Linked DNA regions of Lepisosteus oculatus. The protein of the gene in region 1 interacts with the protein of each later gene in a pairwise test. Links are inferred from orthologs where the notes say so. Each region holds a gene or a part of one and is shown on either strand. Other genes may lie near its edges.

Region 1 (7,978 bases):
TGCTTCAAGCACAGAACTCAATCTCTCCCGGAACTGGAGAAAGAGCCAAAAAATGACATCCCATCCCGAAAGATTCAACAAATGGCTTAGAAAAATAAAGGAAAAGAATGTGCTCTGAGAAACAATTAAAAAAACAACAGGATCTAGCTAAGGTAAGGCAGCACAATCAATTGCAAACACATGGGTAAAAGGATATTAGAAAGGCCAAGAGAGAATTGAAAAGAATATTCTAATGGAAGCTAAAAAGTAAAAGGTGAATAAAGAGCTCCTTCAGTGTTACAGCAGGTAAAGAAATGTCAAGGATGAAGTAAAATATACCCGAGACAATAATAGGAAACTTCTAGACAGGGGCTGATGTAATTTAATTTCTATCCCTTTATTTTATTCTGTTGATGCAGATTTTTGCACATAACCTGTTACCTTGTTGTTGTTTTGCACATTGCCTGTTATTGTTTTTTGCACACTGCCTGTTGTCTCTGTCTTTCTTTTGCTACACAATTGTATTGTTGTTGTTGTTGTTTTTCTCTTTGTACTACTTATGTCCGAGAGCTAGCTAAATAGCATTTCGTTATACCATATACCATGTATATGAGTGTAATGACAATAAACTTGAAACTTGAACTTGAAACTTGATGTACTAAATGAGCATTTCATTCAAGTATTCACTGAAGAAGACGTCAACAACAGGCCTCCGGCAGCGGAAGGACAAAGGTCTGTACTGCAGCGTAGCACACATCCCTCAGAGGGTGACAAACACTGACTCGGGGAAATTACTGACCACCACACCCAGCACCCGGCACATGAAACGTTACGGAAATGGTTTCAGAACGAAAGGAGAGGATCACCTGTCTAGAAATCAGATTGTAATAAACAGTCAACACAGATTTATAAGAAAGACCAACTGTTTAGTTTGGCACTTAACCTCCTGGAATCTGGAACCTGTCTCGCCTCTGTCTCTTCATCAGCAGCTTAAGGCCACTGAGAAGCGGAGACGTCGGTGTTGTCAAACCTTAATTCAATCAATTCAGCCATTTTCCATGTAGCAGAGCTACAGCCATTTCCAACTTCAATATCAGAGTGGGGAAACTCACAGTTCCACTCAGGTGCACCCATTCAGGTTTCACTGGTCGCTTTTCAAGATGTCTGCTGGGTTGACTTCATCGATAAATTTTCAGATGGACGATGAATGAAAACTCATAACACTTAGCTCAGAGTCAGCTGACATGCAAAGAAACTTTGCTGAGTTAGACAGTAAATGTGCCTCATTCTGCAGAGGAATATGTATCAGAGATTTAAGTGCCTAAATCATTCTAGAAATAAAACAGTCCTCCTGTTATAAAACAGAAAAGTGTGCCTGACCAACTCTTTTCCAGAGGGCTGGATGAGCGCATGGACACGTTGTGGCTACAAGACATCTGTTCCAGCCCACTGTGAATGTTTTTATCTCAGCGAAACCCAAGAAACACCTGTCATTTAAAAAGAACCAGGAGCACCTGCTCAATCCTACAATAGAAACCACAACATACATTTAAAAAAACAGCAACTCAGGTGTGAAGCCCTCAGCAGATTACCACAGGATTTACAGCCCACAGTAATGTGCGTTTCAGTATAAATCCCTCCTGGTAACCAAGACAAGGCCGGACAGGAGAAGTTATCGAATTAACTACACCATACATCCGAAATCATCTTAATTTATTCTAATGTGTCCTAGTCTCCTGTGGTAGAAAAGACTTGCGAGTTTTTTTTAAAGTTTCTTTTGTAAAGGAAACAACATCGCAATCGTTTTTTTTTCTCCTTTCTGTCCCTCGTGGCGATAGGCTGGACGAGCTGGACGAGACCCCAGGGTTAATGGAGTTGGGTGGGCGACACATGAGCCATTTGAAAAAGAGATTAAAAATAGCCCAGGCTTTCCAGCCGACATGAGGAGTACCTGACAGCTGAGTCACCTTTAAATCTGCCCCAGCTTATAAAATAATACATAGAAAGTTAGGGCAACGTCCTTAAAAACACAAGAAACTGAACTGACTTATATAAAGTGTTGGTTTTGGTTAATATTCCCCAACACGTGGTTCCTGAAGGTTAAATCTTGCTCCTCCCTTGCTCCTCTGGAAATGCTGTCCCTTTCAGCGTTCATGTTCAGCGTGACATTTTGCAACAAAAGGTGACATTACACCGCTGTATACTGAAGAACTAGAACACATGCCTTGTTTCGCGTCTAAGAGCAGGCGAACGCGGGTTTCGCCAGCCCAGACACGAAACGGGCACGTCTTTGGGGCTCCCTCACTCCAGGAAAATTTGAGCCCAGAAGAAGCGCTGCGGATGACCCGTTTTCGAAAAGCGTTCAATCTTTACGAGCAGGGCGCTGTCAAATCACAAATCACAAAGCAAAAACAAAACCGACTCGGGGAAGCTGTCTGCGCCTCTCTCAAAAATAAAAAAAACGCATTATAGTCTGCATGCGTGAAGTTACAGATCCCTACCGCATTCCGGCGGCAGTGCTGAAAAACCCTCTCTCTCTCTCTCCGCGGAGGAAGTTTGGACTCAAAGCTGTGCCCGCACTCGAAAACCAAAGACTGTTAGGGGGGTGGGATAACCGAGAATCGCACAACCGCCGTCTTAGCAGTGCTCAAGGCAGGGAGACCGGGAGGGCAGGACGGGGTGAGTTATTTCAGCCGGCGCTGCGAGCTGGTCGAGAGAATGGTGGACACGGACACGGACACGGACCCCCGGTCCCCCTCCGTGCGCAGCGCGGTTCACGTGTGTCCAGCGGGGCCGCACGGCCGCCTGCGCGGCACCGCCGAGCACTTACTGGGGAGTCGTAGGAGAAGGCGCACTCGCTCTTGAAAACCCGGTCCCCGGTCCTGGGGACTCGGATGGTGGGCATGTACGGGACCAGCAGCTCTCCCAAGTCTGCAGCCATCTTCGCATTCCTGCCTCCAGCCCCAGAATGCTACCGCGAGCGAGGGAGACGGAGCTGGAAGTCTGGGAGAGCAGCTAGCACATGATGCTATTTTTAAATGAACACAGACCCGACATTCCTGCAGGATCCGGGAGAGTGACGCTGTGAAGCGAGGGGGGAGGAGGAGAGCGAGATTAAAATTGAACGTATATATATATATTAGGTGCTCGGGCGGTATTTCTTAACCCCCCTATTGGGTTTACATCGATTTCTGTTTCGCCGTGAATTTGGCGCTGCCGACTGTCAATTTACCCAATTCCGCGTCTCCCACCTTCCCCGGCGGAGGCGCGTCGTTTGAAAGGAGACTCGAGGTTTCGGCGTTTGTAATCAATTTGGCGACGGTGCGTGACAAAACCGACGAAGCCCGCCCGCCCGCGGCGTGGAAACGGTCCTTTAAAGCTTCAAAACGAAATTGGTCACCGCTCAGATGAGGTTGCAAATTCCGCATGGCGGGGTTATGCGACAATATACAATATAGCAGCGCCGGACGGTGCTGAAACCCGACGAATAAAGCAGGTAAGAAGGTTATAAAGAGGCAAGAGGTTCTAACGGAGGATATGTTACAATTTTTTTAACTCCTTCATCGCGGTCACTGGTCATTGATTAGCGATTAGCTCACGTGAGGTGGGGGGTAAGATGACCTGCCCGTATAAGGTGTTTTGTAAAACAGCGTTCGACCTTTTTTTTATCTTAAATACCCGATTGTCCTTTGTGCGAATTACGCCCCCCCAAAGAGAGCAGACCTTCAGATGGACTGGACGAACACGCCCCGAATCGACTCCGCTTCCTCGGACCCGGCTGACCTGAAGTCAACACGTCTTTTAAAGCACCGAACATATATGAAAGTGTAAATCGATTCTGCTGAACCTCGGGTGGATCAGACGTCGAGTCCAAGGTGGGCGTGGGGACAGGGCTTGTTACGAGCTGCATGAAAATTTCACATCCGACCCGATATTCACCTGTTTCCTGCTGATCACACAGAGGAGCAGACTGCTTTCCCAGAAATGTCTTGGACACCAGACAAAGAAAGCCAGTGACCAACCAGACAGCAGCATCTCACAGCTTCAGCGCCACAACCACGAGTCTGGTTTAGGGCTTCTCTCACTCAGTTGTGTGTTAATGATGATCTTTTTGGATTATCGAGCTTTCCAGAGTGTCGCTCTCCTCGGATAAAGTAAAGATCAGTTCTAAGTGCCTGTTTTGCATTTCTTGGGTAATTGACCAGGGGGTGCCCAACCAGTCGATCGCAAGAATGTGTGGTATCAAATAAATGGGCTATTTGACTACTTTTTTAGATAGCCTAAAAATTCATTCAGATCTGTGCATGTAATGTCATACATTTTACTGCCCTTGCTTGTGCTTAACCCTTGTGGAATGGGTTGTAAGAGTCTCTTCCCTGAGTGCTGGCCCACACTGAAGAAAAGGCTACAGGTGCTCTGTAGTGTTGGGTGGGCTCCCCGAGACCCCTCCCTTGGCTATTGCTGCACGAACCCCACATTCGCCACAGCACATGGTGGAGCGAACCAGACAAATGGCCGTGACAAATTCGCCAACAGTTTGAGGAGTTAGATTGCCCTTTTTATGATAGTTGTAGTGTTTGAGCGAATACGATGAAGCAAAGAGCCCGAAGACTTACCCTCACCACGAGGAATGGGGGCGCGATTATTTTTTTGTACTTTCGCATTCAAATCTGCAAAGCTAGCGTCTACGCGAAAAAGGGAAACAAGAGAACCACATTTCAAAACTGCACACAAAATGTAAGATGTGTGCTTTCCCCACTAAAAGTGAGTTACGGAAAAAAGTTGAAAAATTAAAATCTCAACTAGCGGCAGTTGGTTTTAACGTGGCCTAACACTGGAGGGAAACCAGCAATCATCGCTGCTGCTGACTTGCTGTTTGGAGATTTCACAGACAGACAGCTATTGCCTGAAATGAGAGTTTCTCAAATAGTCTAAACACGGTGAATGTGCCCAATGAGAGGGCGACCAGTGGCTTCTGGGCTTAGCAGTCCTCCCAGACTTGACTGAACTGCCGAATGAGCTGAATGTCGAGCTGCAGGGACACAATAAAAGTGTCTTCGACACGATCAGCAGTGTCAACACGCTCAAAAAAACGATTACAAGTGTCCTCAAGTAAGCTTCTCAGTGTCAATGCTGACATGAAGGTAGGATATTTTTTTTCTAAAATGGGGAACATGACTTGTTCACTGTAGCCTGAGTCACTTGCTTTTAATTGCTGTCATTTTAGTGATGGGTATAGTTATTGTACTGATGTGTCCACAGTCTGTTTTTCCTATATCAGAGCTTCAAATTCACACTGGTAGTTCGCGCGGGACTGGCACATGAAAAAGTAAATCTTTCATTAAAAAAAAAAGGTTGGGCACCCCTGTAATAGACCCTGAGCATCACATCTAATTGACAAAAGACATGTGGGCAGAGCAGGTGGCCATCTCCTTAAGAACACAAAGACAAAACTGCCATCACTTCCTGGGAGAAAAAAAAATGACCAGCTCAAAAATGAAAGGAAACGTTCTAAATCTTTTTAAAATGAATAGTTTTCTCTCTTTAATCTAGTAGATCCCAGTGCTGGTCCTGGTGAGCCCCACACCTGCTGGGTTTCAGTCCCTCCCACCTCCAGCAGATAACTGAGGCCTTACTGGATCAACAAGGAGCTGCTCCAGTTCAACATTGGCGTGTTGTTAGTAGTCACAAGCTTGAGAATGTAAATCTCTCGAAAAAGGCAATGTTGGTTAAAGCTTGAATGTGTGTAAGAGTTGGACACAGTTCAAATTAACTATTAAGATAAGATCACTTTATTGGCCGTATACAATTTCTTGTGTTAGGAATTTGTCTTTTCGCAGACCCCAGCTTGCTCTCCATGAGACACACAGACAGGGAGAGAAGCTGGGGGTCAGAGGGTAGGGTCAGCCGTTTATACAGCGCCCCTGGAGCAGTTGGAGTTAAGGCCCTTGCTCAGGCGCTCAATGGATTAAGGTAACAAACCAGCAACCTTCCAGCCACAGGCAGATCCCTAGCCACAGAGCCACCGCTCCGCCCCATATTAAGTGAATGAAGACTTGACTGTAGACCTGAGGGTTTGGATGGAGCAGAACCGGGTCAGCAGGACAGGGACCACAGGGGATCACAGTTTTAAACAGCACTCTTAAACAAAGCTGAAACATTGAAAAGGCTTTATTTAAAGCCAGAGCATTATTATACAAACATATACAGGGGATAAATTACTGGCATGCCCCCGCCGAGCGGGCGAGCAGGCGGCGGTCTCTGCGGCTCGCGGAAGGCCGGCGCTGCCTCAGTTGTCGGGCGTGGCCTTGTGGGAGTAGTCAATCAGCTGCTTGTCCATGGTCTCCACCTGGAACCAGGGCCCGTCGCCCTTCTGGCGCATGTGCCTGCGCACCTCCTGCTGCTTCAGCCTGTGGCGCAAGCAAAGGCAACGCGTTACTCTTGGAGAGTGGGTCCCCCCGCCCCCCGCCCCCCGCCGGGACAGCCGGAACAACGATGGGCCGAGGGGCCCCCCTCAGGCACGCGCAATCACACACAGACACCAACGTCAGCCAGGACTCCCCCAAAACACAAGGACGATGACAAGGGGTCTGCTAAGGGCATGAAACAATAACTGCTACAGGGATTTTACTTCTCGATGTCACGGGCAGTATTGAAGTATCAAAGAAGGGAGAGCCCGCTCAGTCAGACCCCTCGCCGAGCTGAGCAGGGGGGACAAGCTCCACGGAGCCGCTTCAGAGAGCGGAGGGGCTCCCCAGTCTCCACGCCGCCACTGACCTCAGCTCGGCCTTTTCCGCCTCAATCTGGATCAAAGCCATCATCTTCTCGTAGTCCTTCTCTGGCGGGTCGTAGAAGTTCCGGACGATCCACCGGGTGATGGGGTGCTGAAGGAGAGAGACGGACAGACCCGGGACGTTGGACAGAGGAACCTCTTGGTTCTGCACGGGTCCATCTACAAGCTGACTGTCAGCTTTCCTCTTCAGAGATTAATTTGGTTTTGCCCGCCTAGTTTAGAATCGCCAGCTGCCCTGTGACTGCACACGGGGGAGCGTGAGGAAGAGCAGGGGGATCCCCCCCCCGGCCGTTTGAGCCCCTCGTGTTTGAACACGTCACAGGCAGCACCGCCCCGCCCTGCAGGGCCAGTGCCGACTGGAGGAGGCACGTCCCCTCGCTGACCGCACCGCAGGCCTGCAAGCGCCCCAGGAGGCCACAGGAGGCGCTGTGGTGCCCACAGACTCAGTCCCACCCCACCCTCTGCGAATCCCAGTCATGCTGGGCTGGTGGTGTGACCCCCGGCTCGAACCCGTGATCGTGGGGCCCAGCCTGCAGACAGGTGAGCACCTTCACAGCATGAGCCACTCTGGGGGCTCGAAGCAGATTATCACTAGCAGACTCATTCCTTCAACACACCCCCCATGTGGAACTGTTTACCACACCGAGCCAACCCGCGCTGCCTCATGGGCGTGTCCAGGGCAAAGTGAAACTCACGATCACATCCTCCGTGACAATTAAACTCCTCTTTCACCACGGAGCAAGACCTGGTTAGTATGGGTCTCTAGGGGAGGCTGGATACAGACATCAACCTTAATTAAGGTACAGATGTGGACTTCAGGTATTACAGATTTTGTAACCCTTTTATATTTGGTCTCCAAACTGGGGATTAATATCCCTGCTACTGCACAATATCCAACATGGTCCTGACAAAACCTCCGATTTTCCTTCAAGCTCAGGGGTCCCCAATTCCAGACTGGATTTCGGACTGCAGAGACCCGGGTTCAGACTGAAGGGGTACTTCCTACAGAACAATGACCCGTTTTTGACATGATATCACTTCAGAGAGTTTGGAAATCTGGTCTAGATGGGAGAGTGCCACCTATTGGCACACTAGGACCACTTCCTTACTATGAGGACTCTGAAGCATTAATCAGCCCCGGCCTGACTGCATCTCAAATCTAACAGGAAAGACGGCAGAGTTGCAGGGTTTCTCGCAGAACAATCC
Region 2 (7,275 bases), on another chromosome or scaffold:
TACTGCGACGTAAATGATTCAATTTAATACAGTTCAGAAATAATTGTTTTAGCAAATAATACGGAAAAATCCTGACTGATGCTTTTTGTCCTGGAACTGATTCAGCCAGCAAAAGCACCGGGGCTGAACAAGGCACTCAGGAATACCTTGGGTAGTCTGAGTGGTTTTAAAAGCTCCAGGTGCCTCTTCAGCGCCCAAACATAAATCTATTATTATTTAGATAATTGCTGTCTTTCAAACAGTAAAGAGAAATTTGTGTATCCAAACTCAGGCACAAGAGGCCCCTCTGAAGAGGTTAGCCGGGAGCGAAGATCTGCCGGGACCACTGCCAAGGTTGTCCTGCCAAGTGAGTCATCAAAACACATTATAGCTCCGTGACCTCAAGTGCAGTTTTGTGGAGTGGTCTTGTTCTAAAAGTCTCCCATCCCCACCCCATCTGGGTGCAATCCAGATGAGGTTTGACTGTGCTATTTCAACTGATGAGCTGGGCCATTTTTAATTTTTAATTTACCTAAATAAGTTAAAAAATCGATGAGCTACTCTTTTCTGGTTGAAATATGTTCCTTTTAGGAATAAAGTCTTGGCAAATGAGGAAAAATTCTAAGTGACAGGAAAGGAGTCAGTGAATCCAAACCACCTGAGGAGCACTTAATATTCATGTAAGTAATCACCACAAATGTGCCTGAAACATTTAACAGTAACAGGTGTAACTTTACTGCTGTAGTGTATATTAATTCAATTTTAGGGCCCAATAAAGACCCTGTGGTGACAAGTACTGTATGTCCCTTCTGATAATTTAAGACAGCTTGTGTCCTTTGGGATCAAGTCACTTCAACCAGCCTGCTCATCAGAAGAATATATTCATCGCAACAGCCAAGCCAAACAAGTGTGAGGGCAATATTCAAGTTCTGCTTGCTTAGTTCAACACACAGGTGCAAGTAATGTGATTTTTCAAGATATCACGGATATTACTACTAAATTTCGCAATATAATGTGTCATGGTAGAAAGAAACAAACACTTCTCTCGGTGTGGATCTGTGACCACATAAATCAAAGATGTTCTGTGCACATTTCCATTCATAATCTCTTGGGTCCTATTACAGGCACTGTGATAAAGAAGTTTTTTTTGCATTTTCCACCTGAATGTAACCTGAATCAGCTATAGGAAAGTTTCAGCAGAGTTAGATCTCAGCTGATATTACCATCTAGCCCCATAAAAGGACATCAGGAAGTGGCAGCTTTTATAATCAGAAAGGATGCTCAATGCCCAATGCATTTGGATTCCTCCACAAATTGGGACAGCCCATACATTTTTTGCTTGTGTGGGAGAATTCACACAAAAAAATGCTCAACTCTGGTAAACACATAATATATGGGAGGCTGCAGAATCTAAAATGACAACCAGTGCCATATAGCCTGGTGCGGACGGTTAGTTATGAGATTTAATTTCATCCTGCCATCAAAGGTGTGACCTCAGTCACACTGCTTGTGTCCAAATCACAGCTGCAAGGTTGTCTAAAAGAAGGATCTGTCCGGATATTGAATGCTGCTTTGCTGACTCATTTGCACGTAGGGGGAAACTTTCTCAGTGCTACAGTTTTCACATCATGACTACAGTGGGTTTTGTCTTGTACAGGCAACAACATTACAGACGATAGATTTCTGTTTAACTGCCAATTTGTTATACAGTATCTCTTGAGGGCAGTCCTGATGGAGTCGAAATTTTTTGTGCAAAAGCACAAGGTTGTGAACTAAAACAAAAGCTCTTAAACATAGCTCTTAAAAAGCTCATTTCAAATATAAACAGCATACTAGAAAAGAAAACATTTTAATGTTTTTTTTTTTAAAAAGCAGTGAGATAAAGTTTGTCTACGTAACAACTTATTCTCCTGGTGTCTCAGTGAGGTCAAAGGAAAATATTGTAGCGCTTCCTCCTCACCACCAGGCGAGGGCATTACAGTATCTACTGCATGTGGAACATAAAGAAGATTTCAAATGTGATTCTAATTCTTATTTTGTAGACATGAAACTCACAACAGTGAATGTAAGGTAGGCCTTTTGCACAGCTGTGTTCATGTGATGCAGCCTTTTTGGAATTGGGAATCTCATCACAGTTACCGATGTCGCATTTTGAGGTCTTTGTATCCTAAAGAGAGAAATTCTCCAGTCAGCTATGATCGTAGTGTAGACTAAAACAGAGCGTGAGTACAGCTGACTTCACATACGGTACAGTAGCATGATTATTTCCATCGAATGCAGGCTCACCTGATGGACTCCATTTTGTACATATCGATGATGTTTTCCACCAGAAGGTTCCTCTGCAGCCCATATACCCCATGTCGGTCCAGAACCACCTCGTGTCTGCAGGATGGGCACCGGAACCGGCCTCCTGATGACACTGTGGTGCCCGCTCTGGTGGGTAAGTAAGGATTTGAGGCCTATACCCACCAGGAACAGAACACAAGGGCACAGAAAAAAAAATGATCCCGCAATCCCACTACATGTTCTTCATATTCAATGTTTAATTGCAGACATTCTTACTAAATGACCTAGAGTGAAAAGCACACAAAGCAACACAGTATGCAAAGTTTAATTCCAGGCTGATTACAACACCTACCTGGAAAATATCATTGGCGCACTTCCGGCAGAGGTTGTGCTGACAAGGGAGGATGACCACAGGTTTGGTAAATATTTCCAGACAGATGGGACAAATCAGCTGTTTCTCCAGGTTGTCCATGGTGTGATTCTCTTTGGAATACGAGTGCTCCAGGGAAGTACTCATTGCGCACTCCAAAGAACCGCAAGGCAAGGTGATTTACGTAGCAAAATCCCCCCAAAAAAGAGGGGAAAAAAGTTTCGCCGACGTTGTACCTGGTGGGGGGAGGGAGGAGGTTCTTTCCTTGTAACAATGCAGAGCCCAGGGTCTGAAGAAACGTCCTCAGAGTATCTTCACTCAGATCACATTGCTTAATGGCCAGCGGTCGGCTGAGTGTCAGGGCGCTGTTTTTAGAAACATCAACGTCAAAGGTTGCCATGCTGACTTGACCATATATGAAAACGACAAGAGGAGAGATCCTGGCAGCTGCTCCGCCACTGAAGGGGACAGAAAGGAGCATTGTGGGTTCAAAGAAAACAGAGCCACTCCGCATACTTTATGGAGACCAACAGCTGAGGTCACAGTGCGGGAACTTTTTTAAAACCACGAGAATACGCTCGAATACGCTACACTGCCCTATGTCTTCCTCATTACGTTGCCTTCTCTAATTAAAGGCCAAAGACAAGGCATCTTATTCAGAAAAAAAAAACAAACAAAGAGGATTCAGTCTTTCAAACTGCTCAAATAAATTTCAGGGCAACAATAGGTATGGTATTGTCATCAAAACCGTTATTTGAAAAATGAAACTCTCATTCAGCTGCAGCTCTGCTTTGGTTGGTAAATGGCTTCAACAACCATAATCAGTCAATCTGTGCTTATTATGTTAATATTTATCTTGTAACTGTTATTGTTATTGTGTAGTTTGTGACCCCAAACCATCAGATACCCAGCCCCATCAATAAATACTGATACTTTTGTGTACAAAATCCTATTTTTCCTAACACCCGATCTTTAAAAGAACATTAGGTCTAGCGAAAATTAATTTATACTGTATTCCTTTTTTTGGTTTCACTACAAATTTTAATTTTAGAAAACCTAAATATCAAAAATACTTTACCACCCAATACTTTTTCACTACATAGGTTCATTTTTTGTATAAAACAGAATTTTCAGACCTTCTGTCTTTACTGTTTTTCTTCTTTTTATTCCTGTTTTAATTTAGAAAGTATCTTATAAACACATATTGCGCAATGTAAGTTTTTGTTTTCCCGTTTTTATGTTATGTTTATCTTTTATTATAAAGAGACGAAGTGCTCTCAATGCAGAAGCTTTTAGAGCTGGTGTTCAATGTTTAAGTGCAGATGTTATTATAATTAGTTGCTTCACAGATGGTGCTGGGATAAATTTGAACACGGCTGGGATTCTCAGGTTTATTTTTAAAATGTATTGTGGTATTCGGCTACCTCGTGCTTTCTGACTCGGCATGGAAACAAATCGCCCGAATTTAAACTGTCTGAAAGATCGTAAATTACAACGGTTTACCCTGTATCCGTTTTTTTCCAGACTAATTTTCCTTTTTGGTTCTTTAATCTCTATCGAGAGGAATTTTTAAAAGGTTTTTTTTTTCCCCATTACTCTTTCCCCCAAAGATCCTCGATTCGAATGGTGCTTCGGATTAGGAGAGTGTTGATCAATAGCGATTGTGTGTTGATTATAGGTGTAGGGCTGTCTAATTCACTTACCTGTTGGTTTTTGTAAAGAAGTACTCGATTTAGTAGTGATACAAATACCACCAGCCCCCAAACCATAATCCTCCGCGTCAAAAGAGTGTTCTCATTTTTGAATGATCAAGTGTGGTAACCCTAAAACAGGCTAAAAGCAAAGGTGGAGAACTGGGTCCTTGAATTTATAAATGGTGTAAATTATCAAGTTATTTTGTGAAAGTGTATCTTGTGAGAGCGAAGATTTTGTAAAAAAAAAAACAGCTTGGAGAATGCGGGCATCGATCCCGCTACCTCTCGCATGCTAAGCGAGCGCTCTACCATTTGAGCTAATTCCCCACTACGGTACAGCTGTCTTTTTCCTGCTATTTTAATCCTTTTTGGTCCTATTTCTTCTTTGAAGAAAAATCTAGTGCGGTCCCCAAAGGATATGCACTCAGCCCTCAATGCACAACTTTTGTTAACTAAACTGATTTGCCAAAATATGTTTTCGTTTTAATTTCAAACACCACCAAACCACTAAAAAAAATCATCAATGCATAAAAAGTAACACGATATCAAATCGCTTCATTGCGTCAATATCACCCACCGACTTTTCTTCAGCACTTGATGACTTTAGTAGTGTAAATTTACAAGTAAGGTTAAATACAGGATCTTGACGCAAGATCCAGTTCACAGCCTTCAATATTAATGTAAGCATCTATTTTTGCTGTAATATTTAAGACATCGACACGTTGTGTGTACGGGTGATGTGATTCATTTTCACATTTTATTGTCGATGGATTTGCCACCTTTATTTAAAAATTGCTCATTTTGATAACACGTGGTCTTTAAGCTAAATTTATGTTATAGTTAGTGCTTTTTTTGTTGTTTTCACGGCAAATTTAACAGTTCACTGAACGTGTCGATAAAAACTCACGTTTGTCTGAAGGATACGTGATATCGTGTAAATCTATGCCCATAGGCTTTTTGGTGACCAAGAATTGTTTACGACACAATCCATGACCTGAGAAAGGTGGGGTGGCGAAGCGGTTAGTATTTGCATTTTGCAACCCGAAGTTTGAGTGTTTGATTCCCGTGGTTCAGTGCAATCCAAAAAAAAGACCGCACCCCGCCTGGAGCCCATGGTGTTCTCGGGTAGGCTCTGCTGCGTGGATGAGGCAGTTAGAAAATTGATGGATGGATTTATAAATAGTGCTATTTTCTTTTCTGCTTACTGTTTTTTTTATATGTATAACTTATGGACTGTGTTTTGAGGATGGTCAGGATTACACGGCGCTTTATTAGGAAAAAAAACGATAGTTCTCCCCCCTTTTAACCACATTCTCGACAATTTATCGTTTTTCCACCCCTGAAGAAACACCGTTGCTGTACCCGGACAATACCAGGTACCAAATCAGTTCTTGTACAGGCAGATGACTGCCCAGGTTAATTTTTAAACGTTAGTTTCCAGATTAAGATCATTTAACAATAAAAAAATAAACTTGAAAGCAAAATGTCAATAATATAAAGATCATAGACGTATAATCAATAAGTGGGTTGATATACAAAAAAGTCGATTTAATCCTCAATTCGTAATAAATAAAACAGATCTTTACATCGACACACAAAGCTGTGGATCTTTTCTTGAAGTACACAGCAGATGTTTCCTCTATGTTAATTATACTTCGGAGACGCCGGCAGATACTAACATTGGAAAAAAATAGACGAGGGGGTTCTTTTGAAAATAAAAAAACTGTATTTCAAAGAACGCGGGAGAATCAACAACGACATTAAAAATAAAAGAACGAGCCGACGCGATTACTGTGTAAAATAAGAAACTGTTTTCAACAGGAGAACGCAGTACACATAGCACGCAAGAGAACAGAACTCCTCGCATTGCCTGTTTGGACAGCAGAAGAGACACGTGATTGGCTAAACCTGAGCCCTTGCACTAGAGAGGGCTGTGATTGGGCGAAAAAAAGGAGCAGGAGTTAGAACAGACGCTGCGATTGGTCAATTCCTGGTAAACGTCTTGGTAGTGATGCGGGTCTTGATTGGCTCAGGCAGAGACTCTTGGCTTCAAGGAAGAAAAGGATTGTGGGAACGGAACCGGCCGAGTCACGTCGTGGACGCAGTGGTTCTGGCAAAATAAAAGCACACTGCGTTTGAACTCACCTCATATCTAATAATTAGGTTCTAATTACGGGGATGGGAAAAATATGATTGCCCCCAATAAAATACAATAAAATTGTAAAATGACCATATTTCTAAGCTAAGATTAGTTTTTGAGGGGAAGAAAGTCATGACCCTTCGATAGCTCAGTTGGTAGAGCGGAGGACTGTAGCGGTAACACTGACATCCTTAGGTCGCTGGTTCGAATCCGGCTCGAAGGAGTAAAACTTTTTTCTTTTTTTTTTAAATACAATAACTTGTTCTCTTTAATTATACCTTAATCAACATTTATCAAAGAAGCTCGTTGAATTTCCTAAATTTCCTACCGTAACTTCGATTCAGGTACAACTGCTGATCTCAAGTATTCATTGCGGCTTGAATGCTAAACCAAGCCATTTCACTGGTTTGATTTCTTTTCAGTAGATTGAGCCTTTTTAATTTTTCTTGTGCTCGGACATTGCTTGTGTAAAAAAATAATTCAATCTGTTTCTGATTCTTGAACATGTTTATACCGTAAACTCTCGGTTTAATGGACTTACACTTTTTTGTTTATCATAAAGACACAAGCTTTTTATTTCACATATCATAGCACAGAAAACACAAAATCCATTTATATTCCCGAATTTTAAACTAAATTTTAGTGTTTTTCCTTGTTTTATCATTTCTGCATTTTACAGAATTATCCTAATAAATATTTCTTACACTCACATAGCGCCTTTCTGGACACTCCACTCAAAGCGCTCCCCTCAGTGCCACAGTGCGCCGGTACACTCACCGCACATCAGCTATTAGTGGGGAGGAGAG

What was found. The genes of interacting proteins can lie anywhere in the genome.
Region 2: the proteins of usp13 (region 1) and trim55b interact in a two-hybrid assay, tested with the Homo sapiens proteins (2 studies listed by BioGRID and IntAct). The link is inferred for Lepisosteus oculatus from reciprocal best matches to the Homo sapiens genes USP13 and TRIM55.

What each region holds. Positions count from the first base shown.
Region 1 is NC_090708.1:1,728,244-1,736,221, reverse strand, and holds the start of usp13 (ubiquitin carboxyl-terminal hydrolase 13), read right to left. Parts: upstream 3,011-7,978; 5' UTR 2,921-3,010; coding exon 2,810-2,920; intron 1-2,809. Other genes in the region: ndufb5 (NADH dehydrogenase [ubiquinone] 1 beta subcomplex subunit 5, mitochondrial), read right to left, coding at 6,269-6,389, 6,757-6,863. UniProt on the Homo sapiens protein: Deubiquitinase that mediates deubiquitination of target proteins such as BECN1, MITF, SKP2 and USP10 and is involved in various processes such as autophagy, endoplasmic reticulum-associated degradation (ERAD), cell cycle progression or DNA damage response.
Region 2 is NC_090701.1:51,231,629-51,238,903, reverse strand, and holds the start of trim55b (tripartite motif-containing protein 55b), read right to left. Parts: upstream 3,012-7,275; 5' UTR 2,783-3,011; coding exon 2,618-2,782; intron 2,439-2,617; coding exon 2,266-2,438; intron 1-2,265. UniProt on the Homo sapiens protein: E3 ubiquitin ligase that plays an important role in regulating cardiac development and contractility, muscle growth, metabolism, and fiber-type differentiation.